Cricetulus griseus: one gene and its partners. The protein of the gene in region 1 interacts with the protein of each later gene in a biochemical or structural test. Links are inferred from orthologs where the notes say so. Each region holds a gene or a part of one and is shown in the gene's direction. Other genes may lie near its edges.

Evidence for each region.
Region 2: the proteins of Serpinf2 (region 1) and Plg form a complex in vitro, tested with the Homo sapiens proteins (2 studies listed by BioGRID, with this or other methods). The link is inferred for Cricetulus griseus from reciprocal best matches to the Homo sapiens genes SERPINF2 and PLG.
Region 3: of the proteins of Serpinf2 (region 1) and Elane, one has a biochemical effect on the other in vitro, tested with the Homo sapiens proteins (2 studies listed by BioGRID). The link is inferred for Cricetulus griseus from reciprocal best matches to the Homo sapiens genes SERPINF2 and ELANE.

Annotation. Positions count from the first base shown.
Region 1 is NC_048600.1:88,885,870-88,889,873, reverse strand, and holds the start of Serpinf2 (alpha-2-antiplasmin), read left to right. Parts: upstream 1-1,198; 5' UTR 1,199-2,906; coding exon 2,907-3,131; intron 3,132-3,282; coding exon 3,283-3,321; intron 3,322-3,432; coding exon 3,433-3,495; intron 3,496-3,746; coding exon 3,747-3,948; intron 3,949-4,004.
Region 2 is NC_048595.1:288,618,378-288,622,465, reverse strand, and holds the start of Plg (plasminogen), read left to right. Parts: upstream 1-1,277; coding exon 1,278-1,326; intron 1,327-4,088. UniProt on the Homo sapiens protein: Plasmin dissolves the fibrin of blood clots and acts as a proteolytic factor in a variety of other processes including embryonic development, tissue remodeling, tumor invasion, and inflammation. In ovulation, weakens the walls of the Graafian follicle.
Region 3 is NC_048598.1:100,684,972-100,688,929, forward strand, and holds Elane (neutrophil elastase), read left to right. Parts: upstream 1-1,463; coding exon 1,464-1,527; intron 1,528-1,792; coding exon 1,793-1,949; intron 1,950-2,056; coding exon 2,057-2,198; intron 2,199-2,799; coding exon 2,800-3,033; intron 3,034-3,152; coding exon 3,153-3,353; 3' UTR 3,354-3,401; downstream 3,402-3,958. UniProt on the Homo sapiens protein: Serine protease that modifies the functions of natural killer cells, monocytes and granulocytes. Inhibits C5a-dependent neutrophil enzyme release and chemotaxis. Promotes cleavage of GSDMB, thereby inhibiting pyroptosis. Promotes blood coagulation.

The DNA of each region.
Region 1 (4,004 bases):
GTTTAAGGGCTTTGTCTGGGGTTTCAGTATCCACTCTGCCAGGTCTTCCCAGTGTGGGACCAGAAAAAGGGGGGAAAGGGGAAGCAGGGCCAGAGAAGAGGTTACATGGCCCCAGCTGGTCCAGAAATGAATCCATGCCTTGCCTTGGTGCCCCTAACCACAGTGTTTGTGCCTTGAGCCAGGGAGGCAGCCCTTGGGGCCAGCACCCCTGGGGAGAAGGGGCAACAGGAATCATCTCTGCATCTCAGGTCCCTCCCAGGAGAAGGGAAGATCCTGGCATCTCTTGAGTCCCCATTTAGAGGAGAGAAGCAGTCTGAGATGTGGCCCCTGCTGCCTCCTCACTGTTTGCAATTCATGTAAATATGATCAATAAATTCTTTGGAAGAGCCATGGAGCTGAGTGAGGCTGTGTTGTGTTTTGTTTTACCTAAGCTGGGCTCAAGCAGTCTGCCTCAGCCTTTCAAGGAGGTGGGGTTACTGGTGGGTATCACCATGTCTGGCTTATGGCTTGTCCTTGATTTTTTGAGATAGTCTCATGTAGTTCAGGCTGGTCTCAATCTGAGACCAGCCTGAACTGGTCTCAGATTGAGACCATCCCAAGACCATGATTGAGACCATCCCAAGACCATTCTTGGGATGACTCTCTTGCCTGAAGCAAAGTCCTGAGATTATAGGCATAACACCAGGCCCAACTTTTGTTTTTTTTTCGAGACAGGGTTTCTCTGTGGCTTTGGAGGCTGCCGTGGAACTAGCTCTTGTAGACCAGGCTGGTCTCGAACTCACAGAGATCTGCCTGCCTCTGCCTCACGAGTGCTGGGATTAAAGGCATGCGGCACCAACGCCTGTCTTAGGCCCAACTTTTAAAGACATACTTTTTTTTATGTGTATGAGTGTTTTGCCCACACGTATGCATGTGCATCATTTGTGTATCTGGACCCTGCAGAGGTCAGAAGAGGGCATCAGATTCCCTGGAACTGGAGTTAGTGGATGGTTGTGAAGCACCATGTGCACCATATGGGTGCTGAGAATTGAACCTGGATCCTCTGCAAGGGCGGCCAGTGCTCTTAACCACTGAACCATCTCTCTAGTCTCTATGCCCAGGTTTTTTTTTTTTTTTTTTTTTGATACAAGGTCTTTGAGCTCAAACTATTGGCCTTGAATGTGATATGTAGCTGATGTTGACACTGTATTCCCAATCATCTTACCTCTGTCTTTCAAGTGCTGTTATACAAGGCTTGTATCATCATGCCCACCACTTTATCTTGATGGCGGTAAGATTAGGAAAAGCCAAGACCTAGTAGTTTCCAGGCCTGTGAAGAGCAGAGCCAGAGGGTAGAGAGGGAGCCATTGTCCTCTGGCTGCCATGGATGCAGGGCTTCTGGTCTGGGTGGCCTCCGGCAAGTTTTCAGATGGCTCATCCTTGGGGGAAAGTGAATGTTGATGCTGAAGAGGTGGTACCCTGGGATGGCCTGCCTCCAGCTGAGTCTTATTTCTCCACCCCTTACCTTGGCCCATGCTAAAGGTAGCCAACCAGAATCCTGGGCTTGCTGCAGGTTCCTGCAGCCTTCCCTTGCCTGGGACAGTTGTGGTGACGGTGGTGGGAACACAGGAATTTGGGAACAGGAATCTGATTGTGACTCTCTGAGCCTAACTGACCATGGATAATCCCCATGCTGAAGGGTCATTAGAAGGCTTGCCAGGCCCCTGAGCATCCTGGAGCTACCCTCTTGCCTGGCCAGACCCAACCTCCTCAACTGTCTGCTCCTGTAACCAGGCTCTGGGTGGCTGTCTTAGGATTAGCAGCCCTGATGGGAAAGGGGCTTCTGGCCCCCATATCAATGTTTAACCGGATGTGCAGGTCAATATTTACCAGCAGAGAAGGCAGGCTGAACGGGGGTTGGCTAAGAGCAAAGGTCCTGTGGGAGGAGAGAGCTAGGCCAGGCTGGCTGCACCAGGCAGAGTGTGGAGAGCAAGTGGGTCCCGGAGAACATCGTGTGCTGGAGCAAGAAGCCTGAAGAGGTAGGATCAAAGGGTGGTGCAGCCTTCTCCGGCAGCAGAGGAGATGCGGAGGGGCCCCTGGGCAAGGGGTCTGGCTGAATTGATTCAGGGAGCCTGCAGCTTCACAGTGTCTTGGGGTGTTGAGGAGCAGAAGTGCAGGCAGTTCCAGAAGTCCCTTTAGAACCTCAAAACCTAAAGGCCTGTTCTTTTCAGGCAGAATCATATCCATGTTGGAGATGAGGGCCTGGCTGAAGGCTCTTGGACGTAATGGTGGGGGCTGGGGAGTAACAGAGGGACCCTCCAGAAGAGCTGGCTAGGAGATAAGGCCCAGGTAGGGGTTGAGGATAGGAAAATCTTTATTGGAGGCCTTAGACTAAGACTTGCACAGACCCCTCCACCAGTCTGGCTTCCCCAAAGCACCCTGGAGCAGAATTGGGGGACAGAGTTGGGATAAGGCTTGTGGTTCCCGTAAGTCCAAAGGTATCTGGGCCAGTCATTCATTGGGCTCCGCTACTAGGTCAACAAAGCTGCTTTCTGGCTGCCCTGCCACCCCAGCTGAGCCCTTGGGGCCTTTGGGTAGGACTGGGGCAGTCTGAGAAAGACTGGATGAAGTGAACAACAGGTTAGATGGGTTCTCTGGGGTGGGAAGCCTTCTCAGATACAGATCACTGAGAGCCAGCCATCATACTCAAGGTTTACAGAGATTCTTATTCTGGTCCTCAATCTCTACATGGGAGGGAGGACTTCTGCCATGACTTTACAAGACAAGCTAAAACCCAAAAGAATTAAGGGAAGTACCAAAGGTCCTGTGGGAAGAAGCAGAGGCCAGATTTAAACCCAGGTCTGATCCACAATGTGAGGCCTAGAGAATGAAGACTAAATGAGAAACTACAAGAGTGGAAAGAAATCATGGGAATCCCACTTCTCAGGATGAGGACCACAGCTAATATGCTTGGGTGTGGGTCCAAGTTCTGTATCTTGATGGGGTCAGGGAGCCCATGGGTAGCAGTCTGCTGCCTGATGTTTGAGTGGGAAGTGGGAACTAACCCTCCCTGTCCCGGATACAGGAACATGGCACTGCTCTGGGGGCTCCTGGTACTTGGCTTGTCCTGTCTGCAAAGCCCCTGCTCCATGGTGAGGCTGGGCTGAGGTCTGGGTTGAGGAAGATGCTGTGGGGGAGGGGCAAGTTTGGGAGAGGCCAGAGGGTAGAGAGGGAGGAATGCTGAGCCCAGGGAGGGGTTGGCTCTGAGGAACCTTCTGCCTCTGCTCACCCTCTTCTCAACAGTTTTCCCCTGTGAGTGCCATGGATCTCCCGAGCCAGCAGGTACTTGGGGGGCTTGGGCGGAAGAGCCCAAGGGTCTCACCTATGTCTTGGGCAAAGCAGGGACCTATGGAGAGGTCCCCCATTTCTCCACCTATTTCCTCCTTTCTAAAGCCAATGAGTGAGCAGGCCCAGCAGAAGCTGCCCCCACTCGCCCTCCTCAAGTTGGGTAAACAGGTACAATCAGGTGGGCCAGGGGGAGGAGGGCCAATCAGCAGGAGTAAGGGAATGGGGGAGGGGAGACGTGGTCATGGGACTGGTGTTGGGGGTTCAAAAGGGATGGGGTAGGAATGACCCCAGCATGACTCTTCCTCTCCCCTCAGATCTGGGACAAGGCCTTGCAGCCCTCTAGTACCCAGACTGTGAGGGAGGCACAGAGAATCCGAGGCTGCCCCTTGACCTTACTGACCTCTGGTCTTTTCTTGTAGGATCTCAGTGGCCACACTATCCTGGAGAGGTCCCCAGGAAACTGCAAGAGTACCCCAACTGCAGAGGAGACTCGCAGGCTGGCTCAGGCCATGATGGCTTTCACTGCTGACCTGTTCTCCTTGGTGGCCCAAACATCTACCAGCTCCAACCTTATCCTGTCACCCCTGAGTGTGGCCCTGGCACTCTCTCACCTGGCACTAGGTACTGGAGCAGCACCTGCCCAGAACTAGGAGGCCACAAGGAGTTCAATGCTGCAG
Region 2 (4,088 bases), on another chromosome or scaffold:
CTGTGAGTTTGAGACCAGCCTGGTCTACAAGAGCTGGTTCCAGGACAGCCTCCAAAACCACAGAGAAACCCTGTCTCAACAAACGAACAAATAAACAAACAAACAAAAAGAACAAAGAACAAAAAGATACTCTTGCAACTGAATCCTATTATTTTCTCTAAATGCTGTGAGAGTGTTACCATGGTACTGTGAGTTCAGATGGAGGAAAGGACCACATTGGAAGGATATTATGAAAGTGGAAGTGAGAGATGATTTCAAAACGTACGTGTGTGTGTGTGTGTGTGTGTGTGTGTGTGTGTGTGTGTGTGTGTGTGTTCTCAAAACCCAAAAGAGGACATTAGACCCACCCCCTGGAAGCTGGAGATGCCAGCTGTCTGATGTGGGTGCTGGGAATTGAACTCAGGTCCTCTGGAGCAGCAGTAAGTGCTCCTGATTGCTGAGCCATCTCTCCAGCCCTCAATGCGATCTCAACACTGCCCACCTGGTTAGTGGTACCTCTCCATGGTACAGTTCTTGTCTGGCATGCTGAGTCTCACCCTACAGGCCGATCAAGAAATAAAACACACCAGGAGAGAGGCTATATGGTGCTTAAATTCAAAAGGGATGGGGATATGACAGCTTTGTAAAAATAATATAACTTAATCCACTGATTAGTTCAACAGCAGGGCTGGAATACAGGTGAGGGATCACCGGAAAAACAACAACAAAAAAACAATGGTTACTCACAACATAAAAACTGGAAAACAAGTTCATAAATATTATGTAATACATGCATTGAGACACCACATGCTATCCCAGTCCCTCATCTGGGAATGGAAATGGGAACAGTGTCCAGCTGATTGCTGGGAAGGTCAAATGAGGTTGGGTATGGACCATTTGCCAGAATCTGGCTATGGAAGGCACTCAGCAAACATACGTTATTTTCACGATTTCCTTCTTGAAGGCCAAGACAAGGAAATTGAAGAAGAGGGAAAGAACCGAAAGGAAATGGGAAACATGGTGGCTGGGTGAGGTGACCAGCCAAGGAGGAGAAAGTCAAACAGTGAAGAGCAGCAGAGTGGGGGAGTTGCCATTTTCACCACCTCTACATCTGCTGCGGACTCCACACTCAAACATTTTGTAAGCGTCCTATTCGAGGTAATGTTTGCTCCTTCTGCATACAGTGGCAGGGGCCTCAGAGAATCATTAACCCCATTGGACTATCTTCCTTGTCCATGCCTTTGGTCCCTTTTAAGCCAACTGGGACAGTTTTCCAGGTGCTGTTGGCCAGTCCCAACATGGACCACAAGGAAGTAGTCCTTCTATTTCTCTTGTTTCTGAGATCAGGTAAGATTTGATGCGTGGTTTTGTTTTAACCTTTAAAAAAAAATCTAGCCATATATTAAAAATAGGTTCGATATGTCTTTATGCGCAATTTAGTTGAACTATAGGGTTTATGAGATTTTTTCGGTTAAAAATCTCTGACTGAGGAGTTTGACATATAAATTTAATTTTCCTGTGAGTACTGTTGGAGTGGGGAAGGAACAGGCAGAGCAAGCCACAGGTTGCTTTTCAAATCTAAATGATGGAAGATTTTAGCAGTGATGCATCTGATTAACAACTCTAAAGGTAGTTATAGGGGGATGTAGCTGAGTGGTAGAGCATTGGCCATGTGTGAGGTCCTGGGTTCAATGTCTGGTGGTGGTGGCAGTGGGGTTAGATGGTTAGCACAGTTTTCAGTGTGACTGACAAAAATGGTTTTTGTTGACCTGTCCTGTTCTCCCGGGGATTTTCTGTTTGGTTTAAGGAAGCCTTTGTATAGGTACATAGCTGCCTCTCATGCCTCCATGAGTCACATGGGTCAGTTTAAAAATGACAAATGTATACAGTAATTGAACAAATACCTATTTAGAGGTCAGGGTGTGCTAGACACTTGTGTGCTTTTGAGTGTGTGTGTGTGTGTGTGTGTGTGTGTGTGTGTGTGTGTGTGTGGTGTATATGTGTCTGTGTGCATGTGCAGTGTGTATATGTGTCTCTGTGTGTGCAAGTGTGGTGTGTGTTTCTGTGTGGTGTGTGTGTGTGTGTGTGTGTGTGTGTGTGTGTGTGTGTGTACTGACACTAGCTTACAAACCTGATGGCAGAGGGATAGCATGTTTTCCTCATTATGTAGATGAAGACTTGGGAAAATCATGACTAGGGCTTTCCAAGAAGAAATTCAGTGTTCTCTGTTTTTCAACTTTGTTTAAAGCTCTTAAAAATTCACATTCTAAACATGATTGGTAATTTTCTCTTGAGTAGTTTTACTGACATGACTCCCACACTGTCAGATGCACTGTGAGGCACACAACCTGATGGCTTTCAGTAACATTCAGGGGTGTTCAACTATCACGATAAAAACTAGAATATTTTCATTGCCTCCACCCCAAAGAAACACTGCTCCCCTGTGTGCCAGCCCTAAGCCCCATTCATCTGGCTTTCTGTCTTTATAAATTTGCTGTCTGGGACATTTCATATCAAAGCAATCATATTTCATGCCAGCCTTCTTCATGCTAACAATGTCAAGGGACTTGAGACTTAATCTGTAGACCAATAAGGTTTTATAAATTGCACTTTATGGTTAAATACATTTTAATTTAGTGGACAGTACTTAGAGACAGAAAAAATCCAGAGAGAGAGAGAGAGAGAGAGAGAGAGAGAGAGAGAGAGAGTGTGTGTGAGAGAGAGAGAGAGAGAGAGAGTTTGTCTATTTCTCTGTTTTTCTTCTCCTTCCTTTCCCTGTGTGTGTGTCTGTCTCTTTTCTTCTTCCTTCTTCTCTCTCTGAGTGTGCGTCTGTCTCTGTCTGTCTGTTTCTCTTTCTTCTCCCTCCTTTCCCTGTGTGTGTGTGTGCGTGTGTGTGTGTGTGTGTGTGTGTGTGTGTGTGTGAGAGAGAGAGAGAGAGAGAGAGAGAGAGAGAGAGAGACAGAGAGACAGAGAATATCCCACTCTTGCCTGTAGAATAAGCTCAGGGGTCACACCCAAAGGCTAGAACTAACTTCTTTCAGCAGGTTAACTTATATCTCAGCCAACTGAGGGGGGATTCTTTCATAAGCTCTTTGTGAAAGTATTCACTCTCATTTTCTGTGGAAATGACTTGACTTTCATTTTCTTATTGCATTAAAATAGCTTGGGAAAGAGGGGGTGGTAGTGAGGAGAGAGGAAGAGAGAGAGATAAAAGCTTCCACAGCTGTGAACAAACTACTGGGACTTTTTTTTTTTTTGAGATAAAGTCATATTATATAGACCTGGCCATTCTGGAACTTGCTATGCTATGTAGATGAGGCTAGCCTTCAACTCTCAGAAGCATACCTCTGCCTAAAAAGTACTGGGACACACACACACACACACACACACACACACACACACACACACACACACACGTGATGAAAAAGGTCTCTTCACTTTGATGCTAATACACATCTATATTTAGGCTCTAACACTGAAATAGTTTTCCTACTAAAAGGTTTGTTTTAAGTCCTCATATTAATACATTATATTAAACCTCATTACTACATGAGCCCCAGAGGTAAACAGAAGAGATAAAGACTGGAGAGACATTTTGAATATAAAAGAAAAATTCACTCCTCCTTAGGGACATGTCTTTGGAACATCAGCTCCTTGGGTGGATCTCAGTAACTGTATACCATGAAACACGAAGTAAGACACAAAGCTGATGACCCAGAGAGCTCGCTCCTCTTTATCGTTATCTGAAACCTAGCTTGCACACTCCCCAGAACTCTTTGCACAGGTTAGCCCAAGTCTGTCTATCTAGATACATGGCAAAGAGTTACTATGCCTCCTCCAGACCACACACAGCTCTACAGATATCCAAAGCACAGCTCTTCTCAAAACGAGGAGTTTGAGTTAAAACAAAACACAAGCCTAAAATGTCCATGCCTCCATCAACTTTTATGCTTAGGCTAAGTACTTTGACGATTGAAAACATTGTCAGCTAGCTTTCTGCTCTTTAGTCAGTCTTCCAGTTTGGAGCATTAAGGAGGGATAAAGTCACCAAGGAAGGAAGGGTAGACTTCCAGAGATGAGTCTGCATTCATCAGTTGTCTTCTCAAGTT
Region 3 (3,958 bases), on another chromosome or scaffold:
CAGATGGTGCTCAATAAGTACAGCTGTGGTGAGGCCTGGTCTTCTAATCTGAGATTGTTTGCCCCGAACCCCTTGCCATATGACAAGGGATGGTGTATACATACAGTAGGTACTTACTGTGTGGAAGGAAGGCAGTCCAGTTCGTATGTATCTGAATGAGCCTTGCAAGCAGTGACCAGCTTGAGGGAGGGAGAGGGCAGCTGTCCCTCTAGGATCCTATGGACAGAGGTCTCCAGCCTGGCTGGTGTTGGGCCTTAGCATCTTGGCCACCTGCCCATGTCCGTTGGGTTCCATCCCCCCATGCCCTGTCCTGGAGTTGGGACGTTGGTTTTGCAACAGCTTTGGCTGCAGCTCCTGGAAGAGATGGGAGGGGAGCTGGCCACAGAGTAGGGGGGCTGGGCCCTGGGTCCTGTCTCCATTGTTGGAGGAGAGCATTCCCCCTGTGTGGTTCCAAATTGGAACCCACACTCTGGCCACTGTCAAGGGCAGCAACTCCTTCTCATGGGTGCCCAGGCATTAATGGGGTCAGGTGGGACTGTGTTCCCCATTGTGAGGAGCAATCATCAAATTAGGGGCTAAGGTGCTACAGTGTGCACCCCAAGTTTAAATGACCTGTTGTGCTGGGCATGGTGGCCCATACCTTTAGTCCCAGTGCTGAGGATGCAGAGGCAGGTGGATCTCTGTGAGTTCCAGCCAGCCTGGTCTACAGAGTGAGACTTTGTCTCAAACATACACACATTCACCTGTCACTGGGTGTGTAGAGCCTCCATGTCCCTCAAGTTTTCTGACTTAATTAAGAATCCAGCTATCCATTCTCTGTCACCCCAAGAAAAAGTCATGCTGACACCGAGCCTTTGACAACGCAATGCATTATGTATTGCTGTTATTACCATGCTTAGGTAAATAAGCTGAGGCTGAGGGATTGGCTGGGCCTCAGGGCACCAAACTGGGCCTGGAGATGCACATCTGTTATCCCAGCACTCAGGAGGTGGAGGCAGGGGAATTAAGAGTTTGAGGCCAGCCTGGACTATTTGAGATCCTATTTTATTTTATTTTTGGTTTTTTAGAGACAGGGATTCTCTGTGTCACCTTGGATGTCGTGGATCTCTGTGGACCAGGCTGGTCTTGAACTCACAGAGATCTGCCTTCCTCTACCTCCTGAGTGCTGGGATTAAAGGTGTGAGCCACCTTTGCCCAGCCCTGAGGTCCTGTTTTTTAAAAAAAAAAAAAAAAAGAGAGAGAAAAAAGATGGCTTGCTCAGTTGTCACTGATATTCAGCAGCGTGTATGAAGTTGAGTGGAGACCCTGGGGGGGGCACGCCTCTCCATGCCACCCACATTGTCCTGTCCTCAGGGAGGAAGTGGGGCTGTGACCGGCATGGGGCAATACAACGGCCTCTGGCTGCAGCTATAAGTATGGCTGTTAGGTAGGGCTGTGGAGAGCCACCAGAGCATAGCCCCACCATGACCCCCAGCCCATCATCCAGCCGGCTTCCTGCTTCCATGCTGCTGGCCTTGCTCCTGGGTGGTGAGTGAGGATGGCCACACTGACCTTTGTCATCTCCATTGTCTTTCCTAATTCTCCCAGGGCTTTAGAAAAAGACATGGAATTTTGCAGTGCCCAGAACACTGTAAGGAAAGAAGGGAGGTGCTTGGATCTTCAGTACAGGAGTACCTTGGGCAGGTTCTTGTTCCTCTCTGCCTCAGTTTCCCTCATCAACATTGTGAGTTCTCATTGGGGGTTCAAACAACTTGGTGGCTGGGGCTCATTCTTCCTCCCCGTGTGTCCCTAGGCCCGGTGCTGGCCTCAGAGATTGTGGGTGGCCGGCCAGCCCAGGCACATGCTTGGCCCTTCATGGTGTCCCTGCAGCGGCGTGGAGGTCACTTCTGTGGTGCCACGCTCATCGCCAGGAACTTCCTCATGTCAGCAGCCCACTGTGTGAATGGCCTGTGAGTCCCCTCTTCGTCCCTCTCAATCCTCAGTGTCCACATGGGCCAGACCAGAGAGGTCAGGTGGGGGCTCCCACTCATACTCCTCCCCTCTCCGCTGTCCACAGAAACATCCGGTCAGTGCAGGCAGTGCTGGGAGCTCACAACCTGCGGCGAAAGGAGCCCACTAGACAGATCTTCTCTGTGCAGCGGATCTTCGAGAATGGCTTTGACCCCACTCGTCTGGTGAACGACATTGTGATCATCCAGGTAGGCTTGGGAGTCCGGGAGCCTGAGACTCAGGTGCAAAGGTCTTGGAGTTCAGGCTTGAGAAAGGTGCAGTGCGGAAGGCTCTGGGAGTGGGGAATGGGGCACAGACACAGTGGGGCAACTTCAGTTATTGCCTCTGAGCCTGTTTCCCACTGAGCACAGTGGGAATAGCTGTCCTGTAGGCCTGATGGTGATGGCTCATAAGATCTAATATATGGAAAGTTCAGGGCAGTGTTCAACAAATTCCTGTTATTTGCGCTTCTCTGCTCACTGACTCTGTGACTCTGGGGTACCTGGGGGAAATATTCTTTTTTTGGTTTTTAGGGATAGGGTTTCTCTGTGTAGCTTTGGAGGCTGTCCTGGAACTCACTCTGGAGACCAGGCTGGCCTCGAACTCACAGAGATCTGAATGCCTCTGCCTCCCGAGTGCTGGGATTAAAGGTGTGCACCAGCAACACGCGGCTGGGGGAAATATTCATTTCTTCCTCCAGTTCCTAACCATCCCCACCACTTGGTGGCAGGGTACTAAGCCATTGTCTAAAGTGCCCTGCGACTTCTTCGTGTTCTAAGTCTCTCCCTTACTCACTGTCCCTCACCTCAGCTCAATGGCTCAGCCACCATTAACACCAACGTGCAGGTGGCCCAGCTGCCTGCCCAGGGCCGTGGCGTGGTTAATGGAACTCAATGCCTGGCCATGGGCTGGGGCAGGCTGGGCACGAACCGACCGGCACCCAATGTGCTCCAAGAGCTCAATGTGACCGTGGTGACAAATTTCTGCCGCAACCGTCTGAATGTATGCACGCTGGTGCCACAACGGAGAGCAGGCATCTGCTTTGTAAGTTCCCTTTTGCAGTAGAAGGGATTGTGGTCAGACCCAAGGGATGACTTCCCAGTGCTGGAGCATGAGTAAGGGGGTGCCGAGAGGGCCAGTCTCTGACCTTGACACCTCCTCAGGGGGATTCTGGAGGACCCTTGGTCTGTAACGGGCTTGTCCAAGGCATCGACTCCTTCATCCGCGGAGGCTGTGGGTCTGGATTTTTCCCAGATGCCTTCGCGCCTGTGGCTGAGTTTGCAGACTGGATCAATTCCATTATCCGAAGCCATGACAACCATCCCCATATCCACCCCAGAGACCCTGAGAGCAGCAATGACTAGGACCTGCCTGTCCTCCCAGTGCCGTCAACCTCAAGGGACAGCTCTCAATAAAAGCAGCATTTGCTTTGTTTGCTGGGTCTGGTGTCTGTTGTCAGTGCCACAGAATGTAGAGCAAAGCCACTATCTAATGTGAGGGGCACCTCCTGGGGACTTGGCTACCAAGCTAGGGCAAAGTCACAGCAGGAGACACGTTCCCCACGTTGTACAAAAAGAGATCAGTGAGATGGCCCTTTTGGGCTTCTGTCCCCTAAAACCCATGTTCAGTTAGGTCTCAGAACTAGGAGGCTGAGGCGGGAAGATTGTCATGAATTTAAGGACAGCCCAGGCAACGAGTGAGGCCCTGTCTCAGAAAACACAGAGGGGCTGGAGAGACAGTTCAGCAGTTAAGAGCATCTGCTGCTCCCAAAGGAGACCTCGGTTCCCGAGTGTGGCTCACAATTACCTATAGCTCCTGTTGCAGGGGGCTTGTCCTCTGGACTCTGGACACCAGGCATGCAATACACACCCCCATACACAGAACTAAGAATAATAAAAGTAAATCTACCAAATAAATAAGCTAGGACTGGTAAGGTGGTGCGGTGGGTGAAGGTGCTGGCCACGAAGCC